Linked DNA regions of Medicago truncatula. Each later gene encodes a partner of the first gene's protein in a complex. Links are inferred from orthologs where the notes say so. Each region holds a gene or a part of one and is shown in the gene's direction. Other genes may lie near its edges. The genes, in order: 50S ribosomal protein L24, chloroplastic; 50S ribosomal protein L1, chloroplastic; 50S ribosomal protein L15, chloroplastic; 50S ribosomal protein L9, chloroplastic.

Region 1 (7,018 bases):
TGTATTGTTGTCACTCCAGGCAGTTCCTCCTGTCATTCATCGCGACATCAAATCTAACAATATTCTCTTGGATCAGTCCATGCGAGCCCGGGTATGTCCTGTTAATCATCACTTTTTCTAAGCATGACCTTGTATATCATTATCAGTATTTTACGATACATGCTAGTCGTATCTCGATTCAGCACAAGATTATAAACTCAATTGACACAAACCTGTAGTGTGTATCTATTTGGACTTGAATCTCATCTTGAACCCCAAATTATTATGAAGAAACTCGATTCACTATGATGAATCTCGGTTCACTTTAATGAATCTCGTTTCATTCTACTGAATCATTACACTTAGTTTACGCTGCAACCTATTTTGTCAACTTTGTACAGCCTACCACTTTTCTTTTGCCATTTGATTTATGACTAGAATTTTGAATTATTTTGAGGTTTGTTATGTATGTCACATGTTTTTACTTAAAAATGTTATATTTTTTACTTGAAATTTGATTTGATAACCATGATCTTTTATTCAATCTGTATGATCTGAGATAATGCTGAATGACAAAATATATATTTCCTCTAATAATTTATTGTGGGTTAGAATTCTTATGCTCTTATTGATTCTGAATCAAATAGGTTGCTGATTTTGGACTTTCAAGAGAAGAGATGGTGGATAAACATGCTGCTATTCGTGGCACCTTTGGCTATCTGGATCCTGAATATATATCATCCGGGACATTCACCAAAAAAAGCGATGTATACAGTTTTGGAGTGTTGCTCTTTGAACTTATAGCTGGCCGAAATCCTCAGCAGGGTCTTATGGAACATGTTGAACTTGTAAGACCTCTCTCCCTCTTTCAAGCCCTGTTGAAAATAAAATGTATCTTGTTGTTCTTTCTTCTTTGCTTGATACATAGTACATATCGAAACAAGTGGTGACAGATCTAGAAATTTAAGTTGCGGAGACAATACTCACAAATCCTTGTAAATAATAGGGCTTATTGTGGTTCAATTCAGAAAGAAAACCGTACCAAACTAAACCGTTACGGCGTTACCACAGTTCATAAAAACTGAAGCGAACTGTTAATGGGGTCCGTCCCAAGAGGTGCACCAGTTCGATGATTCTGAACCGAAATAAAACTACCTTTACAAAAAATCTAATTGTTCTTTCTTGAACTGAATTTATATTAGTTGGAAAAAAAATTAAAAAAATCGAACCAAATTGAATTTTTTTTGATGCAGCACACCATGATATCTAATTAATTTTTTCTGTTCTTATGAATGCTATTGATGGATGATTAGGCAGCAATGAACTCCGAGGGAAAAGTTGGTTGGGAGGAGATTGTTGATTCAAAGCTCGAAGGAAAATGTGATTTCCAAGAGGTGAATGAAGTGGCAGCACTTGCATACAGATGCATCAACCGTTCCCCAAGGAAGCGTCCTTCGATGAGGGACATAGTTCAAGTATTGACTCGGATCCTTAAAGCAAGGCATCAGAGGAATCATCACAAGAAGTCTCTTTCGGCCACAACAGATGAAGTTGCAATTGATGTTGATGAGCCAGAAAATAAGGGTCATGTTACTGACCACAGAAGAGATGAATCTATAGATAGTCGCCACAGAAGAGATGAATCTATAGATAGTGCAACTGACATGTATGATTTGTAACAAAAATAGCTTTATATTTAGTTCTTTTATTTTCTATTGTTTTATTTTTATTTATTTTTTGGCTTTGGATAATGATCTTTATTAGACATTAGGCTTTGAGTGAGTTAATGATGTTTGGCATCATCTTCTGTAGTTTTGTGTAACATTCTTTTTTTTTTTTACATTATTTTTTACTTTATTGTTTCATTCTCTTGCCTTAGTTCTGTTGTCTCGCAGAACAGAAACTCCTAAATTTGTATATTATTACTTTCATGAATGAAATTGATGTGAAAAAAGGGTTACTTTCATGCACGCAATCTATTTTCCGACTCAACTAACAATCTTAATGTCGAAAATAATTTTAATCTCACTTAAATGGATTTGCAAATTATTTGAGGGATCATAGTTTTAATTTCTGAAGAGTTAACTAGGATTTCAATTGCAAAATTAATCTAACTTCATAAATTTTAATCTCTGTACAAGAGGAGCTCCCTGTCAACCCTACTGCCTGCGCTGCACCAGTAACGAGAATCCGCTTAGCACATCATGGTAGCATGTTCATTTGCAGCTGACACAGAATCTGCTTGGCATATCATGGTAGTGCGTCCATTTGCGCTGCACCAGCAACACAGAATCCGCTTGACACATCATGGTAACGTGTCCAGTTGTAGCTGGCCATGGCAGGAGACAGGTATGTGGACTGTCCTTGACAGATTTATTGATATGAAGATTATTGCAAATATTTATTATTCAAAGTTGCAAATACAATAGATCCAAACCAGCTAGTCAAATGGTGTACAGATATGCGAAGTTTGTGGCGCTGCAGAATTTACACTTATGGAAGCAGTTGTTGAAGGTCTGCAGGAATTGCATCAGAGAGCTACGTCCTTTTTAGAACACCGGCAGCAAGTCAATAACCATATAGCAGAGAAGCAGCCAGAATGGTGATGACAAAGACCACCGGTACGGATGATAAAATGTAACATTGATTCATCGTTCACGGACAACTATGTTGGTGTAGGAATGTGTCTAAGCGATGAAGTAGGCAATTTCCTGCAAGATCGAACAGATCACTATTCTCCTCGCCTCCTTGTTCATGAAGAGCACTTGGTTTGATTGAAGCAATCAAGTGGGTTATAAGCTGGAGATTGATCATATATTTTTTGAGTCGGATTCTAAATTGACGGTTGACAATTTTAATAAACCAAATCGGGATATGTCCGAACTAGGTTATATTATTGATGATTCATGATTGTATATGTTTTATTTAAGTCCCTTTTTTGTCAAAACTCTGGTGGTGGAGTATGTTAGGAGACAAACTAATGTAGTGACTTATAAGCTAGCTAGAGTAGCTACATACAGTCAAGTCTCAAAACTTTGATTTTATCCCATACTATATCTTGCTTGATAATGATAAAAGAAATTACTTAAGTTTGCTTGCTTCAATTTTTTTTCTTTTTAAAATATAAATTTATCAATTGCAAATATGTATGCAACAGTGTAGAAGAAACCTCATAACATATATATTTTTTTAAAAATTAATAATGCTAAATGTTGTTAATAAGTCCTTTTAGATTACTGGATACAAAATAAAAAATAAAGTATAGGATATATCAAAATATTTAATAAGATGCATTCTATATTTTTAAGGATAAAACTTGGTACATTCATTTTCTTAGGTATTTTTCGTATGTTTCTTAACTAAACTATCCATGTTTTACTTAAATCGATAATTTTTTTTTAAAGTTTGTTATAAGAAAAAGTGTATTTTTAATTTAGAATTGTACAAAAGCACATAAGAAAATACATCTAAACGAGAGAAGTATAATTCAAGTATCTATTAAGAGGAGAGACATATAATTTACTTTAAGTTTTTACTTCTCAATAGTGTAAGGCAATTACTTACCACTCTATTTCATCTCACATCACCAATCCAAACATAGCACAATAGTGTAATTTACTCTAGTATTTATTATTGAACAAAAAATTAAAGAGAAAAAAATAATAATAATTGGTTCATTCCGAAGAGAGTTACAATTGAAAATTGCTTCTCCATTTCAAAATTACTTATTCCCTTAATTTAGTGGGAAACTCTCGCTCGACATTTTTCAGCGTGAGTTAACTCACACCAGCACTTTTAAGATCGATTGAACCGATTTAAAAAATGATTGAACAGATCTTAAAAATGTCGGCGTGAGTTATCCATGAAAAATGCCGGGAATTAATTCCTGCCGAGTTGAGGGAATGAGTAATTTTGAAAGGAAGAAGATCAATTTTCGTTACAATTTGGGCTTACAAAACTAACCCACATAAAGCCCATGATCCATTTTCACACCAAATTCTTCAATTTTTTCTTTTATTTTGAAATTTTGTATTATCCAAAATCATTATCAGAAGCAGAAGCAAAAAGAAGAAGTTACAGCAACAAAAATGGTAGCTATGGCTATGGCTTCTCTTCAGAGTTCCATGACCTCACTCTCACTCTCTTCCAACTCTTTCTTCGGCCAGCCTCTCTCTCCCATCACTCTCTCTCCTCTTCTTCCGGTACTTCATTCTCTTACACTCTCTCCATTAATTTTGCAAATTTGCTTCTTCTTTTTGAATTAAAGTTTCAATTTTTATTATTCTAGGTACTTATTTTCTAATTTTATCCACATGGGGTTTTTGATTTTAGTGAGTTTTAAGAGTCCAAGTTCATGGGTAATAGCATTTCGTGTTTATTTTTCTAATTAGAATTGTGGTGATATTGTTTGAATTTATAGTTAATAATTATCATCTTCATAGAATTAGTGGATGCACTAATCAGTTTATAATTCATAATTCTGTTCATGTTTATATGGCATGTCCTATTCAACGTCAATGCTTCTGATTGAAGGTGTGTCTCGGTGTCTTATTCATTTTCTTATTAGAATAAATTGAATCTGCCATTTTGTAGCATGACCAGTGCTATTGGAATTGAATGTGAATAAGCTCATAAGAGATTTAGATTTTTCACATGACAATTGTGTGTCTGAATGTGTTCTTTAGACAATCACAAATTAAGATAGGATTGAATTTGACAAATATAGTGCATATGAAGAAGGAGATATAACACAATTTTCATATCAATGTGAAAATATTGATTAAAGGATCCATTTCTAACTAATCCCTTGTAAGAATATATGTGTTCTTTGATGTGTGTTCATTTGCTTAGTGCTTGCCTAAAATTATCATTTCTAACTAAGCCCTTGTAAGAATAAATTTAAATGTTATTTGTTCATTTCTAACTAAGCCCTTGTAAGAATATATGTGTTCTAACTTATCTTTTCTCTCTCATGATCTTCTCTAAAATTTAGAGATAGACACCAATTATGGAAGGAGAAGGAGAGAGTGAGTGGAAGTGGAGGATCTGGATCCAAATTTTAGAGAGAAGATCAAGAGAGAGAGAGAAAAGGTAAGAAGATCGAGAGAGAGAGAGAGAGAGAGAGAGAGAGACACATATTTTGGGAGGAAGGAGATGGAGAGTGATTGGATGGAGAGGAAATAGAAGATTTTGATGAATCCTCTATTAAAAAAAAACACAAAGCTATCCTAGTTTCGCTATTAGAGAAATAGCGGCCACTATTCTAGTTTCTGCTAGCAGATGTAGTGCAACTGTGCAATAGAAGAAAAGTAGAATATTTGTTTTTTTTTTTTTTTTTTTAAATTACAAAATTGAAGAGTCTGCACGTGTAGCAAACAAGAACTATTTTCAAAATAGAAGAGTCGAATCGCCAGAGAGTAATACTCTCATATTCACTGTAATACGTAAGCCTTTATGTTTGTAAGCTATGCTTTGCCTCCATACCCTTTTTTATTTGTACGGAACATGTCTTTCGTTATATATAATTGACTTAATTCAAGCCTTTCGTTATATATAATTTACTTAATTCAACCAATATAGAGTCTGCTATTTCGCATAACAGATTTTTGGCATTCCACTATTTTCTGTAATCTGCGATTGACAACACTACGAAAATGCAATAATGCTTAATGTTTCATTCAATGTAATGTAACTACTACATTTTGCCAGGCTGAAATTTGACTGTTTATAAGGATAAAATGAATCTATATTGTTCTTCTTCTTACAGATGCATTTCTCAATAGTTTAGTATGCTAAATCTATATTGTTCTTATTGGTGATATGCAGGGTAAGCCGACAGATAAGCAATGTCGTATTGTAATGAAGGTAAGTATCAAATACTTCCCACATCCATGCCTAATATGATTATTCTCTTTAGTTTTTGTTAAACTAAAATCAAAATCAAGCAAATGTTAACTATAGTGATCCGAGAGCAAAGAAATGTTTTTTTTTCCGTCAATGGCATTTTCATACTCTTGCAAAAATGAAAACGATACAAACCTTATGATTTCTTTAATTTTATATTGTAAAAAAACATAAAAAGACATTGGTTTATAGGTCATGAGTCTAAATATATTGTCTAACAACTAACCTTATAAAATGTCTTGTGTAATATTTGTTTTGTTTCTTTTCTTTTCTGGCAGCTTAAACGATGGGAGCGAAAGGAATGTAAACCAAACAGCCTTCCAGTGTTACACAAATTGCATGTTAAAGTTGGAGATACTGTGAAAGTCATATCAGGACATGAAAAGGGTCAAATTGGGGAGGTTACTAAGATCTTCAAGCACAACAGCACTATCATTGTCAAAGACATAAACTTGAAGACAAAGCATGTGAAGAGTAGACAAGAGGGAGAACCAGGGCAAATAAATAAGGTTATTATCATTTCCCTTTACCAGAGAAAACATTATTATGAATTCTTCACTCTTAAGAGTTAGAGAATCTCCTATTATATAACATTCTCCTTTGTTTGAGGGAACTCGAGTTCAAATCCTGGCTGGAACAAATTTTGGTCAATTTTATTTACCTCCCGACCGAAGTTTGGATTACCATGCCTCTTTTCTCTAGAAACTTGAGGGTTAAGACAAAAAAAAGAAGTTTAGAAACATGCGTTGATGTTTATGATTTTTGTTTTTTTTTGGTGCATTTCTTGTCATGGACTCTAATACTTTTAGAAACCATTGCCTTGAATTTCAGATTGAAGGTCCTATCCACAGTTCAAATGTGATGCTCTACTCTAAAGAAAAGAATGTCGTAAGCCGTGTTGGTCATAAAGTTATTGACAATGGCAAAAAAGTTCGTTATCTAATAAAAACTGGAGAGGTAATTGATAGTGTAGAGAATTGGAAGAAACTGAAGGAAGCTACTAAAAAAACTGAAGAACTTGTTGCTGCCTAGTTTTACTATATTAATTCATGCATTCAGCAGTTATGTAACTCAATGTAGTTGTATTATTTTTTTTCCCATTTTATTGTTAAGTGTATATTATGTTGTGTTATTA
Region 2 (7,345 bases), on another chromosome or scaffold:
GCAAGACAGCATCATTTAAACATATACAACAAGTAACCATCATTAATAATCTTCATATGTAACATTTGCAACTCCATATCAACAACTTAGACAACATTAACAACTTAATACTCCAATACTTTGGAAACACTTTGGAAAGAAAACTTACAACTTTACAACTTAGACCAACACCTGCATCTTGATCAATATGCAACATCAACAGAAACAGTACAAGCAATTCACAACATGACAATATTAATGAAAAACATCAACAACTTAAACATCATATATTCTCCACATAAGACATATGAACATTTCACATAACCAACAACAGCAACATAGACAACACTTAAACACCTCAAGATATAACAACATCAAATAATAATCAACATCTTAAAACATCATATATGCATATAACACTTCATCAATCATGGACAATATCGTATTCACAACATATACATACATATACTAATTCATCAATCATAAACAACATCATACTCATAAACATATACATTCATATAACACTTCATCAATCATGAACAATATCGTATTCACAAACATATACATACATATACTAATTCATCAATCATATTCAATTATTCACTGTGACCTACGTGCAGTAATTTGACCATAACTCAAGTTCTATAAATCCTTTTCAAGTCAAACCAATGGCATTAGAAAGCTAACATCCATACCTACAACTTTCATGTGTACACCTAAGACCAATTCTGTACCAATCAATACCAGTTTTCATTTCAAATTCGGAAAAAGTTGTGCTGAAATTCATAAAAATTCACTGTGACCTACATGCAGTAATATGACCATAACTCAAGTTCTATAAATTGTTTTGACGTCAGACCAACGGAATTACAAAGCTAACATCCATACCTACAACTTTCGTGTTTACACCTAAGACCAATTCTGGACCTATCAATACCAGATTTCATTTCAAATTCGGGGCAGAGATGAAAAGAAAAATCAGAAAAAGCAACCTATATTATTCAACTTCACTTTCATTCAAAATCATCACAATCATCACTCTTAACCCTAATTCTCAAATACAATTTTCAGAATCATAGACTCAAGATTATTGAATGTTAGTCCCACCCTTACCTTAAGAATTCGATTGCAAGGTTATCTTCTCGTTCCTCCTCTTCTCTAGGTTTTCTCCCTTTTTCTCCAAAAACTGGTTGTACGTGAAAAAACTATTCTGACTTCTCACTTTTCTCTTTTTATAACCTTAACCTACCTATTTTCTCTTAACTCCACTTATTCTCTTAAACTCTTCTAAATTCCCAAATCAGCTCCCAAAGTCTCAATATTCTATTTTAATATATATATATATATATATATATATATATATATATATAAAATACTTCTACACCAAATAACAAATATATTTCTATAACAATTATATTTCTACACTAGATAATATAATATAATATAATATATTTCTACACCAAATAACATATATATTATACTAACAAATAACATAATATCTCTACACCAAATAATATATATTATAATATAATATGCTACTAAAACACCAACCTATAACACAAAAATAACACACATTATCATAAATCAAATAAATTATTCAAAAAGACTCTAAACTCAATAAAATAATCAAATAAAACAAATAATTCAAAGAGGGCGTTACAACGTGCACGAAAGAAGGTAAAAACGCCTTGAGATAGTGGATAATTAATGGCCTTGGGAGACATAAAATCTTGGAAATCTTGTGAAGAAAGGAACAACGATGGTAAAAATAGGGAGTTTCGAAGGGTAGAACATGAAGAGTTCGATCAACGACAAGTGGCGCCTTAGGGAAATAAATAGACTTATAGGTTGTCCAAGTGAAAAGACGTGGCCCACTTAAATCCTAAAACGATCAAAGGAAAAGAAACTGAAAATCATGTTTGGAGGGTAATTAATGAGTGGGATGATGTCATCTTTTCAAGGTAACTTGTGTAATTAAAAAATGTCAATATTCTCCTACTTGATGAGGTTCGTCGAAAATGGCATTTTTCGGGGGCATCCTGTTAGCCTGTAATTTCGACAGGGTCATTTAATGTGGTCAACATTTAGTTGACTTTTAACTTTGCAGGAATCGAAGGCTTTTTCATTTTAATTTGAGGATTTCGACAAAATAGCAAGCCTAACGCGCATGGTCAAGAGTTCGTCTGAGGAATGCTAAAAGCGTAATTGCATCGAAGTCAAGCAATCAAGGCGGGAAAGATACAATTTCAAGCTCAAAGGCGGTTTCCTTAGTGGAAACTTGGGGACAAGAGGTTGTCCAAGATGGAGGAAGTGTTGATCATGAGATCAGTCTTTTGCCAGTTATTTTCTTTATGTATAAATAAGAGTTTCCTAGTCGGAAAATGGGTCGCAAATCATTTATAGAAATTCTACAACATTAAAACTACCGACGCATAGGAAAACGAGTTATACATAATGTATGTAAACTTATTCGTAGACAATTTTACTTTTAATGCAATGCATTTTACATTTTCTTTTAAGTTTATGTGTTTAAACTTTTACCCTTTCCTTTAATTTTATCTTGCTTTCACTTGCAATCTCAAAACTGTCGAAAGACAGTGCCCTTTTTACTCTAAAATCCGTCTTGCTCTCTAAGTAACCTGAGTGCATTTTGTGGCCTTTTCAAACCGTTTTCGATCAAAACCTTTGAACATCATGTCCTGAGATTTCTTGTAATAATCAGAATTAACCTGTAGTTTGCCGAAAACACCGGTAAACAGATAGATAGAAGCAAAAGTTGGATGATTTGCATTCAGCCACCATAAAGATTAGAGTTTAATTTTCTCTAGAAGATGAAGAAAACCTATTTTGTTTAAACACTCTTGAATTTCTTTTTTGCTAAATGATCCAAATACAGAAAAGTCAAATCAAATTAAGGAACAAAAAAAATATTTTTTTAGTAGTCACAAATTCATACAAATTGAAGTAAATGATCCGAGATATAAACGGATGAATCGTAATTAAACATATTCAATTATAAATATCAAACCAAATTTTTCTGCAAAACTCAAAAATAAAAAAAATAATAAAGTTGAATCTCGTGAGCATTGCTCAGTTGGTAGAACAATGCATTATTATATGCATGGATCGGGATTCGAACCTCGGACACACTATTTACTCACCTTATAAGGTGAATTCTAACTACTAGACTACCAGACAAAAAAATTGATGTCCTCCTCCATGTCACATCCGCCTGCACAAAAATAGTATTTAGCCAAAACACCATTCACTTATACAATGGTAGTCTATTTTGTAGTTATAGTTTATCCTCATTATTTTTCCCTCAAAAAATTTATCCTCATTATTTTGTAGTCATACTAAAATAATCAACATCAATAATCCACCCAATATTATAAATAAATTAAATAAGAACCACACAAGCATAATTTGCATTGTCAATTTTATAAGAAAATATGAACCACCCGCACAATTTTGTTTAGGACAAGGACAACCATCTGTGTAAACTAATTTACACTAATGTTTAACAAAAATAAATATCAAATATTAAATAACATTAGTTTGTTCCAACTATGAATCTCTTTTAAACTTAATTTATTTTTCATAAAAAATCAATTTATGTATAAAATGTGAATGTTCATTTTAGTCCTTGAGAAAATTCAAAAGATCCAATTTAGTTTCTTAGAAAAATAAAAGTAACTTTAGTCATTGATAAAAACTAAATCGGGACAAAGTTAATATTTAACCTCTTTACACTTTGTTTTGGTTGATAAGAAAATGATAGAAGAAAGAAAATAAATCCAAGAAGATATTGTTAATAATTTGGTATGAAAGAAAGATAGAAAAAACCAAATTATAAATACAAATTATTTTTCACATGACTAAATTAAGTCTCGTGAATTTTTGAAAAACTAAAATGGGCTTTCAATAAAAAAAGTTAAAAATAAATTAGAATATACACACTCTCTTACTAGAACAATGAGCATCATTTACACGCCCTAAATTTCTAATAGCATAATTTTTCTTGAAGGATAATAGCATTTATTTTTATTTTTTCACCACTACATCAAAACTTTGGAATTAAACCTCGATTTTTTTTGTCTAGTTGTGTAGTGGTTGAAGTTCACATATTATAAATGTGAAGGAGTGCGGTGTATGAGATTCAAAGTCCAGCTTCTGCATATATTATATATTTGTCCCTATGAACTGAGTTAAGTTGACGAGACGAATTAAAACTTAATTTATTAGTGCAATAATACAATAAAAAATTGTTTTTTTTTTTTGTAATAATAAAAAATGAAAAATAAGTATTAGTATATGCCAAAAAGAAAGAAGAAGAGAAGAAATCACGCGGCATTTGTAAGACGATAGGGCACATCACATTCTTATCTCCTCAAAATTCATTTCATTTTCATATCACCATCGCAAAACGAATAGATAACCACCTAAATGTCCTGCTTTCACCACCACACTCTCTTCCCAAACATGGCTTCATGTACAACAACAACTTCATCATCATCTCTTATGCTAACACACCCCTCTTCTTCTATTCTCACCCCCCAAGATCTTTCTCCTTCTTCTCTCCGTTCTTTTCCCAGAACCTTCTTTCTCTCTCCCCTCGTTTTGAAGCCTTCTAAGTCGGTTAATCTAACCTACCAGTCCAGGTCTTCGATTTTACTTTCTTCCGCTGTCGCCGCTGATGTTGCTGAAACTGTTGATGAAGATGAGAAAGATGACGTTGATGATGTTGCTGAAACTGTGACTGTTGTTACTACTAAGCCTAAGAAAGGGAAAGCTGCATTACTTCTCAAGAGTGATAGGGTAATCTTCTTCAAATTCTATTGTTTTCTTGATGGGTTTTTGTTGAATTTTATTAACTACAATTGGGGTTCTGGTTTTGTGGATTATTAGTGTATTATTAGTATTTATTTATTAAGGGAATTAATTGTGTTGGTGGCTATGACCATAAGAAGCGTAGCCACGAACATCTGACACGATATTGACACGTCGACATAGAATTTAACTAATGTAAGTTCAGTGTTAGACAGTGGCACGTGTCGGATACTCCCTCCGGTCCTTATTATAAGAAACTTTTGATTTTTTAGATTCATTGAGTAATTAATGTATCTTGTTGTAAATATAGACTAGATACATCACTTACATAATGAACCTAAAAAGTCAATCCTTTCTTATAATAAGGACCGGAGGGAGTATCAGTCACGCCGTCAATCAGAAGTATGGGTGCTATAGAGATTGTACTACAATTACGAACAAAAAATTGGTATTTGAATACCAATTTGTTTTACTTTGGTGAATTGGTTTTCACCAATTTTCTAGATAATTTGTTAAAAGCGTAGAACTGAGTTATCTTATATGGTTTAAAGAGATCCGGATTCAGTGACTTATCTATTAACTTTCTCTCATAACACACAATTACACCGAAGTCACCTTGAATTACCGGCCTTAAAGTCACTGAATCCGGATCCAGTTTAAAGTAAGACAAAAGACAGTGAGTGTTTATGACAGTAGAAGAGTCAAAGGAAGATGTGTTGAATCTCTTTTCTCATTGCGATCGGCAGTGGAATGATTGGAAATTCTTTTAGAACCAGTGAATTTAGGAAGATGAAGGGGTTCATCGTTCACGTGGGAGACTTGGAAAAATTGTTCTGAAGGATAGTTGAAGAAATTGTATGCTTGTTGTTGTGATATTATTTGAAAGACTATAAAGATATGCAGTCACCATATTTTACGGCAGGCAATTTATAACTATTAATTTGATAAAAGAAGTAAACAAAAGTAGTAGCAGCATTTTATACTGAACCCAAATGTACCGATTATACCCCCCAATGTAACCAATACATGGTAGGCAGCAACCGTATACCCGTACCACGTACCAAAGAGAATTAAAAATCACGTGACTATGGTTTTCACACATATTATCTAGGATGTGTTCAGCCAAGAGGTGAGGGAACTCTATCCACAAATTGTTATATCACTGGTGAGGGTATCAATTGAGTCAGTAGCTTTAGATGGAGGACATTTACCACTTATACCTAACCTTGTAGCTGTGTTGTGGGTATTGGACTATTAGTTGATGCTAATTATGGGTGCTATATTTTGGCAATTGTCTATATCATTTTTCACGTAAACATGAAATAACCGTAGTTGTACCTAAGAATTTTCACGTAAACAGGAAATAACTGTAGTTTTACCTGGGAAGTTAATCATGTATCGCCATCTTGTAACATTACAAACAAGCTTTAAGAAATAATAGAATGATATAAGATAGTGAGAAATTGTTGGACAATCCTCTTCAGTAGCTAATGACTACAAATGGATGAATACATAACTGTATATCTTAATTTCATGTTTTGTGCTCATTGCTCATTTGGTTAGCACAAGCTGCTCCATCTGTTGAATAACTGTAATAGAATGATATTTTAAAATAAACTTGCTTAGTGACTAACATCTTATGTAGGTGAGAACTCCTAAAAAGTGGTGATGAAGAAAAATAAAAACTCACTGTTCACGTATTTATGTTATAGGAGCTTCAGAGGATATAAATAATTTCATAAAATATACACGGTTACATACTCATTTACTTTTAGTTGAGCCATATTTATAGCCAGACTTTCTTTTTGGTGGAAATAAATTGTTCTATATAACTTCATTTAGCTTCCAATATCTTCTGAAATTTAGCATGAGTGAAGGTGAGAGATGCATATAAACAGTAGTTACTGTGCTATTTGTCCTACCATTATATGCAGTATTTTTGCTTGGTTGGTCTTTATGTTCCAGCATATTTGATTGCCTACTTGGATAGCGATGGTGTAAATGTTATAAGATAGCCATTTGTTTCTTTCTAAGATCAAGTTGATTGTTTGGATCATTGAATTTTTCATGTTTGGAAAATGTTTCCCATTTATTTTATGAATAATTGTTGTTTTCACTTTCCATGTTTCACCAGGTGAGATCTAAGAGATTCTTGGAAATTCAAAAATTGAGGGAGTTTAAGAAAGAATATGACTTGAAGACAGCAATTTCTTTGGTAAAAGAAACAGCTAAAACCAAGTTTGTAGAAACAGTAGAAGCCCATTTCCGCCTCAACATTGACCCTAAATATAATGATCAACAGTTAAGAGCTACAGTGAGTCTCCTGCCATTCGTTTGATTCTAGTATATACATGCACATTGAAAACTATACAATACATCTGCTAATTCCGAGTCTTTCATCCATCTTCTCTTAATAGGTAAGTCTGCCGAAGGGAACTGGAAAACCCATAAAAATAGCCGTTCTTACTCAAGGTGATTATGCTTTCGATTCGCATTTACACTTCTAGTTAATTAAAAGTGTTCTGATCATGCTTAA
Region 3 (7,431 bases), on another chromosome or scaffold:
TTGTTTTTCCATTAGAATAATACAGTTAGCAATAGCATGCATATATACAAAATATACAGTGTTTGATTTGATAGAATTTGTGAAATTGATATTCAGATGTTATCCACCAATAGCAACAGCAGGGTATCATCCAGCAGGTAACATAGGAGATCATCATCATCACCCAACAATGCCATTGAGTTTCCCAACATCCTTCTCTGCTGCAGGTTCATCATCCTCAACATCTCAAGTTCAACAATATCTGTACTCTTCACCATCAAGGCCTATGTCTTTCCCTCCACATTTGGTTCCTCACGATTACCGTCATGTGAGTCATATGATGAGTAACAATGGGCAGCAATATGTGGCAGGTGGAGGTGAGTCAAGTTACACGTGCATAGGTGCACCGGTTGGACAAGGTTTTCCAGATCATCATCCTTCAACGATCAATCGATTTCAAGATGGTATGTAATGGAGTGATATTTTGTTATCATAAAGACACGCTAGCTATCTGTAATGTATGTATGTATATCCAGAGAGAGAGAGAGAGAGAGAGAGATAGATGATTCATAATTAATTAAGGTGCTGACAGATAGCTAGGGTTATGACTCATCATGAGTAAGAAAGAAGAGATAGCAACAACAGTAACTAGGTGCTGCAGCTTTTGAGCTCATTCACAACCTCAGCTACTTTGGATTCTAGCTGTGGAATGTCTTTTATATGTTGGTTCGGTACAACAACAAACAAGCTGTTGGATATGAACTGAAAGTTTGTGTCACTTCCTTTTGCATCCCATTTCTATTTTTCTAATATTTCTTGCTTTTTGTACCATTTTCTAACTTTTGTGGTTTCATACTTCTTTTCTAACTAAAAATCCAAAAATCTACCTCTCACTCTCTCTAGTCAAACCAAAATTAGAATATTCTAGTTTCTTGATATGCTCATCATGTCAGTGTCACACTATGCTTGCACAATTAAGGTAATATCACAACAAAAGTCGAATACTCCAGCTGAGTGTTTCCGGTATACTCTCATACATAGAATATTCAAACAATCAATCATGCCTCTACTATCAATCAAATTTCTTCTTAACGCATATCTAGAAACCTTATCAGTTCGAAAACCATACATAATACAAACACAGACCCCCTTTCTTCCTAGCCAAAGATCACCTCCCAAAGGTAACTATGTTATATAATAAAACCCAAGGAGTACAAAGAGTTTAAGAAGGAGTACATCAAATCATAAAACAAAGCGATAAAAGATAAAGTGTAAGGGAATGGTAAAACAACCAGAACCACAACAAGCATAGTGTAGGATGACATTATTTAGAGATAATGGATCACATTAAGATGGTCTCACAGAGTTGTACTTCCTCCGTTTTTTAATATAAGTAAATTTTAACTTTTAGATTCATTCAATCAATGATGTATGTGGTCTTTTAGACCACATACATCATTGATTGAATGAATCTAAAAGTCAAAATTTGCTTATGTTAAAAAATGGAGGGAGTATTAGTTAGTTGTAATGTAATGCTTAACATGTGACATTCTTCCTTGTAAGGGTTTGGAGTAGCCTTGTACATCCTTTAATGCTAGTTTGTTTATTAAAAAAAATCATAGAACCTGAAAAACATACCACCAACAAGGAAACCACGTACCACCGTCACAAGGAAACCACGTACCACGTAATCAACCAAACTATATGCACAACCGATCCGTCCTGGTCAACACCACAAACCTCTGTGGGGTCAAATACTCCCTCCGTCCCAAATTGTATGACGTTTTGGACATTTTACACATATTAAGAAATGTAATTAATATTGTGTGGGAAAAATATATTATGAGTTGTTTTACAAAATTGTCCTCAATAAATGATATGGGAAAGATAAATGAAGGAATTGAAAGAAGATAGAGTAATAAATAATTAAGGATATAATAGGAAAAATAACATTAATTTTTCATTGGTATTGTAAAGCGACATACAATTTGGGATAAATATATTTTCTAAAGTGACATACAATTTAGGATGAAGGGAGTACATAATAACAAGTTTTCCGTGAAGTCTTACCTTACCTGAAAACCACTTCCACTTATTTTTTACATACTCCCTCCGTTTCAAAATATAAGCAAAATTTATTTTTTAGTTCATTCATTTAATAACCACATACATCATTAAATGAATGAACCTAAAAAATGAATTTTGCTTATATTTTGAAACGGATGGAGTAAGTTGCTGAACAATTACTATCTTTTCAAAGAAAATAGATCCATTTGGGAACCTTCAAATAGACCACACAATCAAATTTAACTAAATTACTAGTAATTTCGAAGAAATAAAACTCCTGATATCAACTCTAGACCAACAATTGGTTCCTTCCGTTTCAAATTATGATTCATGATGTTCCAATATTTTTTAGTGTACTTATTTTATTTTATTTTAGCTTTCACACATGGGTTTTCCTATTTGATTTTAGCTTTCACAATTGAATGGGCCAATGTGAAGTGCAATCATTTGTTTAACACATGAACCAGAGTTAAGGACTTTCAATTATGTATTTTACTCTTTTAATACTTAAGAATTAGTAATGCTACATCCCCTAAAAAATTCATGCTTCATATAGGTTACAAAATTAAAAATAAACTCTAGACCCATCTTAGAAACAATAACATAGTGCCGAGACTAAAGTGAAAAGAATTCAATTTGTTTGGGGATGAATGTAAAGAATTTATTTTCCCACCATCCACCCTTCTCGCGCCCGTCCTCGGTTTCGTCTATTTTATCCCCATTTGAATCATAATTTGAAGCATTTTTAATGTTTTTTGGATTATAAAATTCACAATCTATCTGGGCTTATATTTTACACATCATATGTTGTATTGTATATCAACGTATTACGTCTACGTCACTATGCACCAACCCAAAATCACATAACTTAGTCGGACGATGTGAGTCTTATCTAGCTACTAATACATGATCAAAAATAATATAATTATCTAACTTGTATAAACATACACTTAAGTATCTCTACCTATTACAATATAATTATCTAACTTGTATAAACATACACTTAAGTATCTCTACCTATTACCTTATCATCTTGTGAAAAAATTGAGTATTCTTACTTTTGTCTCTCCATGATGATCTTGAGTATTCTTCACATCAAATTCAGACCCACAAGTGTTTAACATCTATTGAAATTCACTAGGCCTATGGAAAAACACATCATCGTCATGATCTTCAACTTCATGACTCCCTCTCTCAACAACTTATCTCAGAGGCACCAGATAACGATATATCTTGTCTAACCCATCATCTCGGTCTTCTCTAATCATGTTAGGTTGACTGACACCACCCCCACCCTTCAATGCTTCAAAACACACATGTGGAATCAAGCTTTCTTCCATCACGAAGATGTCAAATTTAGTATCGAGGTGCTGACTTGAAAAATTTCCCACGATGGAAACCTTTTATCGTAACTTTGTAAATCAAATCAAGTAAATAAACTTAAATATGTGGAGCAAAAGACATCAGAAACTAAATCTAAAACAACCTCAGGAAACAACAACATATCTTATATCTAAGCAAAACATATCCACAAACAAAGTAAGGACAACAAGATAACAAACACACTAAGAATTGGGTATATGGTTATTGGAAAGAGGTATAAAAGAGGTTACAAGAAATTAGCTTCAACAAATTCTCTAAGAACAACATAATTTATGCAAATTTCTCAATTTCTTTTTATAAACAAGAGACTCACAAATATTTTCACTCTCCAATGTATTTCCCATGTGTTATCTATTTATAGAATCTATCCCCTAGTAGTTTCATATCCAAACAAATCTCATCTTGAAATATAAATATGTAAAATAGTTTAACATTAAAAAAAAGTTGTTTGGTCCTTTAACTTAGTTTTAAAGTTCATATTAATACCCGAATAAAAAGGGAACTTCTACGGTACACCTCATAAATTGAGGTGTACCGATACTCCTGCTATATAAATTTATAAATTAACAATCATTTTATGAAATAAGTAGCTATTTGTCAATATTTATATTTTAGAAAACACCATCTCATGAGAAAAAAACATAATTTCATTGTTTATAAGAATTATATTAAATTTCTAACATTTCCTCATAAAAAATAAGCAATATTTTTCGTTATGGCAATAAAAATTCAAAAGAGTAAATTTTATTTCATCGACGCTTTTGGTAAATAAGATTTAATTATTATAATTGTCAATGATAGAAAATAAATCTTTTTTCTTCAAAAAAACAACTAATTTAATTATTGATTTAATGTTTTGGTGTACTGATACACTCAAAATGTTGGGTATACCATAAAATTTGCCAATAATAAAACCCTCTATAAAAAATAATAAAGTGATAATTTTTTTGAGGAAAAATATAATAAAGTGTTGTAGTCTTATCTAGACCGTTATTCTATTGTTTAGGGGGGTTTATCGTATCAACAATATTATCCGTCTGTTCCATTTTGATAGATAGAGTGAAGAACGGATAGACATAGTAGAGAGACATGAGTGCTGCTGCTTCTCTTATTCCTGTTTCCTGGTTACCCTCTCTCGCTTCTCCATTCAAGGTATTTCTATTTCTATTTCCATTTTCATTTCATTTTCTCCCGCAATTCACAATTTCACCATTGAATTTATATTTGTAGGGAAATGTGAAAACATTGGTAGCAAAACCATATCTATGTCCATGTCTCAAAATTCAGCGAACAAAACACCGTGTTTCTGTCATTAATAAGTCTGTTTCTGCTTCCGTACAACCAGCCGGTGAGAATGTTCGGTTTCGGTTGGACAATTTGGGTCCACAACCGGGTTCAAGAAAGAGAGCAAAGAGAAAGGGAAGAGGTATAGCGGCTGGACAAGGAGCGAGTTGTGGTTTTGGAATGAGAGGTCAAAAATCTCGATCTGGACCCGGTATCATGAGAGGTTTTGAAGGTGGTCAGATGCCGCTTTATCGACGATTGCCCAAACTTAGAGGAATTGCAGGAGGTATCCCTTCTTACACAACACTTGGGAATTTACCTTTTGCTTTGTTGGCTAAATTTGTTGTTTATGGATTTTGAAAATAACGTATTTAATTATCGCGGTTATGATTGATTGACAGTACGAATTATATTCTTAGTTTTAAATGATGTCCAAACTTGTGTATTGTACATTTTGTTAATTAGTTAATTTTTAGTCTATATACTACCAAATGGGAGCTTTTGTGCAATTGTTAGAGATGCAATTGTTTGAGTTGAAAGTCGGATATTCATGAAATTTTAGCAGTATCTTAGAAATACAAGATTGAATATAATTGGCACACTAATAGGTTGCCCTTTTTTTACCATGTTTTGTTGAATTATCTGTAGCATCATAATGCTTCACATGGAGTTTATATGGATTTTGTTGAATTATATTAGGATAATTTAGGATCCTACTGTTAGGGAGTGATCAAGAAAGATGCTACTTGTAGCAACATCATTAGTAAGAAAAAACAATGGTTAGATGAGAATTGTGATTCCTGGTTGCAGATTGATTACGTATACTTGTTGCGTGCCTGCATCACATTTGAAAGTCATGAAGTATGCCTATTACAGGGTCCGGATATGATGTTGTATATATCCCTAATATGTTGATTTTCAAAGAAATTATAGTCGATTCCCTTTATTGACATCTTGAAATGGTAATTATTGTCTAAAGAGAATCATGGCATTATGGATTATACCAAGCTTCCAATACCTAAATTTCGCTTCCTCAGTTCTTATTATGCTTGACATCTTTACTTATTGTATATTTTTTCCCCTTATTCTTTTATATCCTTCCATGATTTCATTTCAAAAGCAATTATTTTATCAAAGGCTTTTCTTTCATTCTTTGTCGTAGGATCTCTCTTAATTTATTTAGTATACGCATAAATCTCGCTTGGAATCATGTTTTAATGTTCCTTCTTTTCTTTTATTTATATAAAAAAACCATAATAAGGTATGCATGCTGGATTGCCGAAATATGTCCACATCAATCTGAAAGACATAGAAAATGCTGGATTTCAAGAAGGGGAAGAGGTGTCTCTGGAGACACTGACGGAGAAACGTGTGATTAACCCATCAGGAAGGGAACGGAAACTTCTATTGAAGGTACAAAATACTTGTTGGTTTATGGCTATCTAATTTTTTCCTTTAGTTGTTGTCTTACATGTTCTTTTCTGTGATTGTTTTCATGATGTCTAGAGGTATTATGATGTTTCACTTTTAAAAACAAATGAGGATGGTTAATTTTCCTAGTGCCCCATATATCAAGAAAGAATTCTCATATGAGGTCCCTTGTCTATCGTGAATAAAGTTACTTTCTTTAAAATTTTCATATAATGCCTTTAATCAGAGAATTTTGGTTGAGCTCAGACATATGTTGTTTGTTTATGATACATATGTAAGTTCAAACGTAATATTTTGGTGGCTGTGTTTGTGGTTTGAATTTGAAACTGTAAAGTTGGAATATAGGTCCGTTGGTTGAAAGAGTTAAAAGTTTGCTAATGGATGTCGGGATATTAGAGATGTTGAAACCGTGTTTCTCAACTACATGATGGAGTCCATTTTGTAAGACTCAAACAAATAATTACAATATAAATACGATCAATTTTATTCTTATTTATGCCTACAGTTAATCTATAATAATCACAAAGATCCTAAACATATTTTCAACAAGAGAAATAAGGCACGTAGTCTATAAATAAGAAGAGGGCTGAGACTTGAAAGGGAGAGATATCTTGTCATTTTAGTTTAGTCGGAGGTCCTTGGATATAGGAAGTAGGGAAGATTGCATACCTTTGAAGTTCTGTAGTTCTCCATACAAGGAATTTTTCCCTAAATGTACATTTAATTAAAATATCAATTTCTGTCTATTGGTATCAAGGCTCCATCAAGGAGTTGGGGGTATATCATTGAAGATTACGTGGCGGGAATAAGAATAAAGGCACACATGGATGTCATGGATGGTCAGGAAGTAATTTCAGTTGGGGAAGATACATCTGTGTTGGATCAACAAGTTTGGGAGGTATTTTCATATGAAATAGGTGTTGGAAGGAGAAAGACTATAAGTCATCTGTGTAGCCATGGAAGGACAAGCTTTGTTTTTGTTTCAATGCTCCAAAACCCGACTTGGGTGATGTGTCATAATATTATTAGGTGTTTCCAGCCATCCATGATTTGCAACCCATTTGGTATTTTGTTGTGTATGAAGCAAGAGGGCTTGTGCATGAGTACAAGGATCAATTTGACATACAGGTCAGGTTGTTGCATCTGCTACCAGATAGAATATTTAAAAGTTTTTTTTTAAAGGACGGCAAGATTGAAGCTACCCTTGAACAGGTCACTATTGGAGGAGATGGATTTGGAAGAAACTATAGATGAGTGAAGAAAAGAGTCGGTCAGTTTGAAAATGAG
Region 4 (6,916 bases), on another chromosome or scaffold:
AGGCTCCCCCTCTCGCACCTTTTTAGTAAACCAAAAGTGAAGTTAATAAATACCCAAGCACTTGGGGAACCCTCTCTTAAAAGCTAGATATCAAGAAGGAAGAAACTCCACCGTGAAGCATCCCATGATGAGAGCCGATTTCCCGGCGGCTGCTTTCTACGATGCTTTACTCAGTCTTTCCGGTCAGCACCTCCATTTGGAGCCCTTTCTAAGACACTGTTTGAATGCTAGATATTAAGGGGAAAAAAACAAACAACTTAAATACACCATCGTGCATTCCAGACTAATCGATGTGGGAGAGGAAGTGCAAGCAAAAAAACGGTGAGGCAGCATAGGAGATGGATGTGTGCAAGTTTGTTGCACAATAGTATTGTGTCTTAATGATTTATGCTGCACAGTCAAATTCCCTTTTGGATTTGTTAAACTTATAGATTGATTGTCAATGTTTGTCAATCATTTTGCATATATGTGTTATTTAGACGCTATCAATATAAGCAGTTCCAAAAGTTGAAATGATTTAATATTGTTTTTTTAGGGTTATCGATATCACTAACATAAATATGATATATACGCCATAGGTTACAGGAAGGAGAGACAGAGCCAAGCCTCTTCCATTCAAGATGGATTCACGTGGTTCATGGGGCTTTTCAGGAGCTAATGAAGGGAACCCACGGATCAGTTCCAAATTTATTGCACCATGTTACTATATTAACAAGTAAGCCACTGGCCTTTTCATGAAAGTATTTTTCATATGAATTCTGGTTTCATTTTCCCATGTACATTATTTGACACTATCATAAATGATGAGTAACTTAATATGAGTTATGTACTTGTTCATGACCATAAAAGAATAGTATTCATTTTTAATTGAAAAAGGACGGTATCTACCTCGATATTTGGATGATTGCGGCATCATGTGGCTAACTGTGTCTTGTTTGTATGCTATATTTCAAGATGCATTTCAAAAGACTATTACTTTATGCTAGGTTGCTGCTGTTTTCTTTCCATTTGTTGGTTTTGAAGCTCAGTAAATTAAGAACTATTTTTTCAGGGTTGAGATCGATACCAAACTCCCCGTCGTTGGTGACCAGAAATGGGTAATATGGATATGTTCCTTCAATGTCCCCATGGCACCTGGTAAGACTCGCTCCATCGTTTGCAGTGCCCGAAATTTCTTCCAGCTCACGGTGCCAGGGCCTGCCTGGTGGCAAGTAAGATTTCTATATTCAATGCTTTCGTTTCTATTCTCTTCAATAAAACCACGAGAATGTTCCATTCTCTGCTAATTTCTGTGGTCTTTCACTGATTTATTCGCTTCTTTTGAATGTCTATCAAGATATAGTTTTAGCAAACCTTGACAAAAATTATTCGCTGTTATCCTTGAAGAATGCTAAGTTTCTTTCTATGAAACCATTTTATTTCGAAGATTTTTAAACAAAATGGAATTCTTGAACTTCTCCAACATCAACATCTAGGATAAAATATATTTCCAGGAACAAGCAAGTCCTAACGATTTTCTTGTTCATGTCTCAGGTGGTTCCCAGATGGTATGAACATTGGACTTCAAACAAGGTATATGACGGGGACATGATTGTACTTCAAGGTCAAGAGAAAATCTTTCTTGCAGAAACAGAGAATGGCGGTGACATTAACAAACAGTACACAAGCCTCACCTTCACACCAACACAGGCCGATCGTTTTGTGTTGGCATTTAGAAATTGGCTGAGGCGACACGGCAATGGCCAACCTGAATGGTTTGGTAAGAGCAGCAGCCAGCCATTGCCTTCAACCGTACTATCAAAACGTCAGGTATAGCAATTTGATCAAGTTATTTCATTATGAACCCTTTTCCATTGTCTACAAAACCGAGAATAAAACACAACTTTGATGATCTTTTGTGTTTGTTTTTCATGTAGATGTTGGATAGATTTGAACAACACACACTGAAGTGTTCAGCTTGTAAAGGAGCTTATGAGGGATTCCAAACATGGCAGAAAATCCTGACTGGTGCAACAGTTGTGTTTTGCGCGACTTCTGGGATTCCATCAGATACTCAGCTGCGCATAATTTTGGCTGCACTCGCGCTTGTCAGTGCAGCCTTAGCTTTTTCCATAAACCAACTGAAAAACAATTTTGTTTTCGTCGATTATGTGCACGCTGAAATCGATTGAACGTGTTATTACTCCAAAGGTTTTATTACTAGTTGCAAATTGTAAATGTTAGAGATGAGGACAAATAACCACGTGTATGTTAATATGTGTATATATTTTCATCAACGGAGTTTAGATCTACCTTGATGTTAATGTTAACATGTGTATAACAATGTGACATTAGACTACAAATACACAATATGAAACTTCTTTTTTCATAGATTGTAGATGATTATTTCGAAGGTCGTAAACATGACAAGATTAACACCAATCTTTCTGTATGTTTAGAATACGAAAGACGTATTAAATCTGAATTTTATTTTTATACACAAATTACAAATCCAGTGCTTAATTTTATATTTCAATTCCTTCAAAAACTAACTATATGATAAATCAATCAATTCTTTCACTTGCAATGTTGGACTCACCATTCTTTTATATATAAAATTAGATTAGAAGAGACACACTTTCGTATAAGATCAAAGAGAACCACTCATATAATCGAAGATCTAAGCCAAATTCAACCATGTGTGTTAACTGCAATTGATTTGTATATTACCCCACTTTTATAACTACATTTGATAATTTATGATACAACATTTAAACTGTTACTTCGATACAATTATTTTTTTTATTTTTTTTTATCTTACTGTAATGCTCTTAATTATTTTTAATTCATTTCTATCTATATCTCTATGCTATTAATTATTTATAATTTTATTCTAGGGTATAGAGTTTAATGAATTTGATAAAGATGTGATATATGATAGAATATTATGATGTCAATTTATTCATTTAACTGATTCTATTTAGTGGGTTAAGAATTAGAGTATGTTTGATTTTGTGGTGAAAAAAAATTGATTTTGAGTGAATTGATTATGTAAAATTGATTATGGCAAAAGTTGAGTTGAAGGCAAAATAATTTATGTTTGAATACATTCATGTAAATAAAATGTAGTTGAATAATAAATTTGAACATAAAAATCAATTATAGAATTAGAAGCTTACGATTTATAACTTTTAAGTAAGATCAATTCTAGAGGCAAAATCAATTATACTTTATAATTATTTCTGCACACCTAAAATCAATTTTGACTCCTCCAAAATGAAACTAAACATGTACACTCTTGTACTTTAATCTCAATGCAATAAACAATGATGAATTATTTTTTTAATCCGGCGGAAAGAAAAGCCAGAAAAGAGGAAAACTAAACAATTTGTTGCCTAAACATCTCATAGACATCAGCAATGTAAGACGAGATTCAACTATGTCGAAGGGGAATTCCACAACTTCATGATGTCGACATTCTTTGCATCAAATTTGGTCAACCAATCAACACATTCGTTGTCTTATCTTGTATCATATTCAAGGAAACCAACCAAGGAAGATGGATGAACATCATAACAAGAGAAACTAAATTTGCATGAGGGTGAAAATCATTATGTTGAACATCAGTCATCAGAAATATCGTTGACTCGGAGTCGGATTCTACAATAATATATAACAAATATCCTAAACTAATGAATTTTTTTCTCTTTCAAATCAATGTGAGTTCAATAAACAAATTAGATGCGATATTATATAAAATCTAGAAAAATCGTGAATCCAAATTCTAAACTCATTCCACAGTATGTCTCCACAGAAATTGTCAATTAAAAATTAACTAACTTTTTTAAAAAAATAAAAAATATTAATTAACATTTTTGTAAAAAAAAAATACAATAATAAGTTTTTTACGTTATATCCACTATTTTTCGATGTTCGTTTGAAGAAGAAGAGATAAGAGACCAAAACACAGAACACAAATTGAGCGGTGAGTTAACAAAACAACAATGGCATCATCATCAACATTATCTTCACTTCCATTGCAACATAGTTTCACCTCTAACTTGAACACTTCTTCTCAATTTTCCAACAAAACTTCAAGGTTCTTAATTTTCGCTCAGAAGAAAGCAAAGAAAACCCGAAAGGTTAGTTACACCAACATTTTTTTTTTTATCTCTCAGTTGTGACAGTATTTGTTATTTGTATTGAGTTTTTTTTATTGTTATTTTGTGAAATTAGATTATATTGAAGGAAGATATTCTTAATGTTGGAAAGAAAGGAGAGCTTCTTGATGTGAAGGCTGGATTTTTCAGAAATTATTTGTTTCCTAGTGGCAAAGCTCAGATTGCAACTGCCGATTTGCTTAAGTAATGTTCAATTATTTATATCATCTAATCTTACTTGAGATTTTAGAATTTTAATTTACATTAGTAGTAGGTTACTTTGGATAAGTTACCAGAAGCAGAGACACCGGACACAACACTGACATGTAGGCACTAGTAATTGTTTAAGAAAGTAGAAGTGTTTGAATTCAACAATTTGGAGAGAATCCAATTCAACATGTGAAAGTGTCGTGTCGTTGACCAAGTGGATACACCTTTGATCTGAAGTGTCAATGCTACATAGGTTACTAGCAGCAGCGAAGGGTATTTAGGTTATTGAAATATCATCAAAAATAAACTTTGTCAACAAAACACCAAAGTCTCTTAAGAGTTTCACATTAGAATGATACATTAAGATTATGTAGCACCAACACTTCAGATTGATGGTGTGTCTGGTATCCGACACGTGTTGATCTCTGACATTGAGACATGGGTTTACATTCAATCATTCCATTCTCTCAGATTAGTACTGATGTTGACGTGTCAGTGTCAATGTTGTGTTTGGTATTCGTGTTTCTGTCAAGGCTTCATTTTGTTAAGAATTACATTTTGAAAAAAACATGTTTGCCACAATTTTGAATTGTGATTCCCTTGCATTGATTGTCTTTAGACCTTTTCATTTTAACTTTTTCTTTCCAGGGAATTGAAGATAGAGGAAGAAAGAATTGAGGCTGAGAAACAACGGGTAATTTTTCGTTGATCCCTTATCATTTCTTTGGTAAAATTTTCCTTATGATAATGTTTAGTTAAAATTGTGATAAGCTGATCAGTGATTAAGAGTGTTAGAGTTCAAGAGGAAAGGAATATTAATATGTTCTGCTACTAGTTCTAAACAACCTTGCATGTAAAGCTATAAGCTCATAACAATGATATTCTCCTGATTTTGAATTCACTTTTTAATATCTGATTATCTGCTGTTTAGGAAATTTTACGACTTTCAAACTTCCTTCTGAAATATTTTAGTGAAGTTTTTACCCCTAGGTGTATTTGAAGACATATCAGACTATCTAAGTTTTACATTTCTATAGGTAAAAGAAGAGGCACTGCAACTTGCTCAAATTTTGGAATCAGTTGGGGCTTTCAAGGTGAAGCGTAAAGGTGGTAAAGGAAAACAAATCTTCGGAAGGTATGTTCTACCCAATTACTAGGTTTCAATTTGTGCAATATATGTATGATTGTGCCTAATCTTTGGTTTCTGTTTAGTGTTACGGCTCAAGATCTTGTTGACATTATCAAGGCACAGCTTCAAAGGTACCATTCATCTTTCTGATGCACATAAATATTTTCTTTGTTAGCATTATAAATCTTACATTATTTAGTATTATCCTATAAGTTGTAACATTCCTGTTTATACTTTTCTAATAATTGGGACAACAAAACACATTTCAGTATGGTATTTTGTTCCAACTAGCTATATGCTTAATGCAGTTTGTTGTTATTTTGTTGTCTGGCTTTGGAGCCTTCCAATTTTGTAGAAAGGTTCATGTTGATTTTTACCACAATAATGAAAGATTCTTTTCGATTGAGTTTTCGATATAATTTATCAACGGAGGTTAACCAAATCACTATAATATTAATAGGTTCTACCAATACCTGATATCCTTTAGAGAAATTCCTTTTAGTTTGAATGGAATTGTCATAATGTTTAGTCTGTTAATATTCAATGTGCATTTCAGTAATAACTACAATGTTATTTTACTCTTTCCTGCTTATCCTTATCGATTGATAGCACCATAGTCATCAGTATCTTGCGTTAGATGTGAGTCGTATCTTGTTTCGAGTAAGACTGAACCCACCCGATATGAATCCCTAGTGTGTATCAACTTCGTACACGAATTCCATCTTATCTCCTAATTCATAATAATGAATTTTGTTTCACTATAATGAATCTCAATTCATTGTAATGAATTACTACCTAAAATTAGTGTAGCTAGGCATTTTTTGTCAACTTTGTATAGCTGGCCGTTGTCTTTTGTCGTTTGATGTATGGCTTGAATCTTGAATTATATTGAGGTTCGTATATGATATGTCAACTTGAAATTTTGCTGTGACTTATTTTTACATAAAAATATCATACTTTTATCGGTAGTGTATCTTACATTTATAATAAGATTTGATTCATGATTAGGAAAATAGATCATTTGATTCACGACTGGAATCTCAATTTACTAACCATAGTTAACACAATACCACAAAGGAATTATAGGTGCAAAATATCCTTCCATGATTCTGTAGATTCATTTGGATGTATTCAGTGTATGCAATTTTTGAAAAGCTAGAAGAAATTTGGAAGAGACTTTCGAAATTCTTCAAACTATATCTCTTTGACGATTTACATTTCTAGTTCAGTTAGTCTCAGTTCACATGTGTTTTGTAGTCTGATTAATTGTTCATGATTTTCTATGATTCATTTCTAGGGAGGTGGACAAGAGAATTGTTGAACTTCCTGAGATCAGGGAGACAGGAGAATATATTGCAGAGTTAAAACTTCACCCTGAGGTTACAGCTAAAGTGAGTGTGAATGTTTTAGCTAACTGAGCACTAATATGTTTCAAAAT

Evidence for each region.
Region 2: 50S ribosomal protein L24, chloroplastic (region 1) and 50S ribosomal protein L1, chloroplastic share a complex: the UniProt entries of both Arabidopsis thaliana proteins name them as parts of the 50S ribosomal subunit. The link is inferred for Medicago truncatula from reciprocal best matches to the Arabidopsis thaliana genes RPL24 and EMB3126.
Region 3: 50S ribosomal protein L24, chloroplastic (region 1) and 50S ribosomal protein L15, chloroplastic share a complex: the UniProt entries of both Arabidopsis thaliana proteins name them as parts of the 50S ribosomal subunit. The link is inferred for Medicago truncatula from reciprocal best matches to the Arabidopsis thaliana genes RPL24 and RPL15.
Region 4: 50S ribosomal protein L24, chloroplastic (region 1) and 50S ribosomal protein L9, chloroplastic share a complex: the UniProt entries of both Arabidopsis thaliana proteins name them as parts of the 50S ribosomal subunit. The link is inferred for Medicago truncatula from reciprocal best matches to the Arabidopsis thaliana genes RPL24 and RPL9.

Annotation. Positions count from the first base shown.
Region 1 is NC_053043.1:40,655,450-40,662,467, forward strand, and holds the start of 50S ribosomal protein L24, chloroplastic, read left to right. Parts: upstream 1-4,017; 5' UTR 4,018-4,067; coding exon 4,068-4,181; intron 4,182-5,805; coding exon 5,806-5,844; intron 5,845-6,161; coding exon 6,162-6,392; intron 6,393-6,714; coding exon 6,715-6,915; 3' UTR 6,916-7,018. Other genes in the region: calcium/calmodulin-regulated receptor-like kinase 1, read left to right, coding at 20-91, 627-827, 1,293-1,658. UniProt on the Arabidopsis thaliana protein: One of two assembly initiator proteins, it binds directly to the 5'-end of the 23S rRNA, where it nucleates assembly of the 50S subunit. Required for optimal plastid performance in terms of photosynthesis and growth.
Region 2 is NC_053045.1:15,688,591-15,695,935, forward strand, and holds the start of 50S ribosomal protein L1, chloroplastic, read left to right. Parts: upstream 1-4,326; 5' UTR 4,327-4,425; coding exon 4,426-4,797; intron 4,798-6,943; coding exon 6,944-7,123; intron 7,124-7,226; coding exon 7,227-7,281; intron 7,282-7,345. UniProt on the Arabidopsis thaliana protein: This protein binds directly to 23S ribosomal RNA.
Region 3 is NC_053042.1:53,668,473-53,675,903, forward strand, and holds the start of 50S ribosomal protein L15, chloroplastic, read left to right. Parts: upstream 1-4,420; 5' UTR 4,421-4,518; coding exon 4,519-4,581; intron 4,582-4,659; coding exon 4,660-4,999; intron 5,000-5,974; coding exon 5,975-6,126; intron 6,127-7,431.
Region 4 is NC_053045.1:29,004,250-29,011,165, forward strand, and holds the start of 50S ribosomal protein L9, chloroplastic, read left to right. Parts: upstream 1-3,901; 5' UTR 3,902-3,983; coding exon 3,984-4,121; intron 4,122-4,215; coding exon 4,216-4,343; intron 4,344-4,997; coding exon 4,998-5,043; intron 5,044-5,386; coding exon 5,387-5,484; intron 5,485-5,561; coding exon 5,562-5,609; intron 5,610-6,775; coding exon 6,776-6,896; 3' UTR 6,897-6,916. Other genes in the region: pheophorbide a oxygenase, chloroplastic, read left to right, coding at 579-715, 1,052-1,211, 1,534-1,809, 1,917-2,171. UniProt on the Arabidopsis thaliana protein: Binds to the 23S rRNA.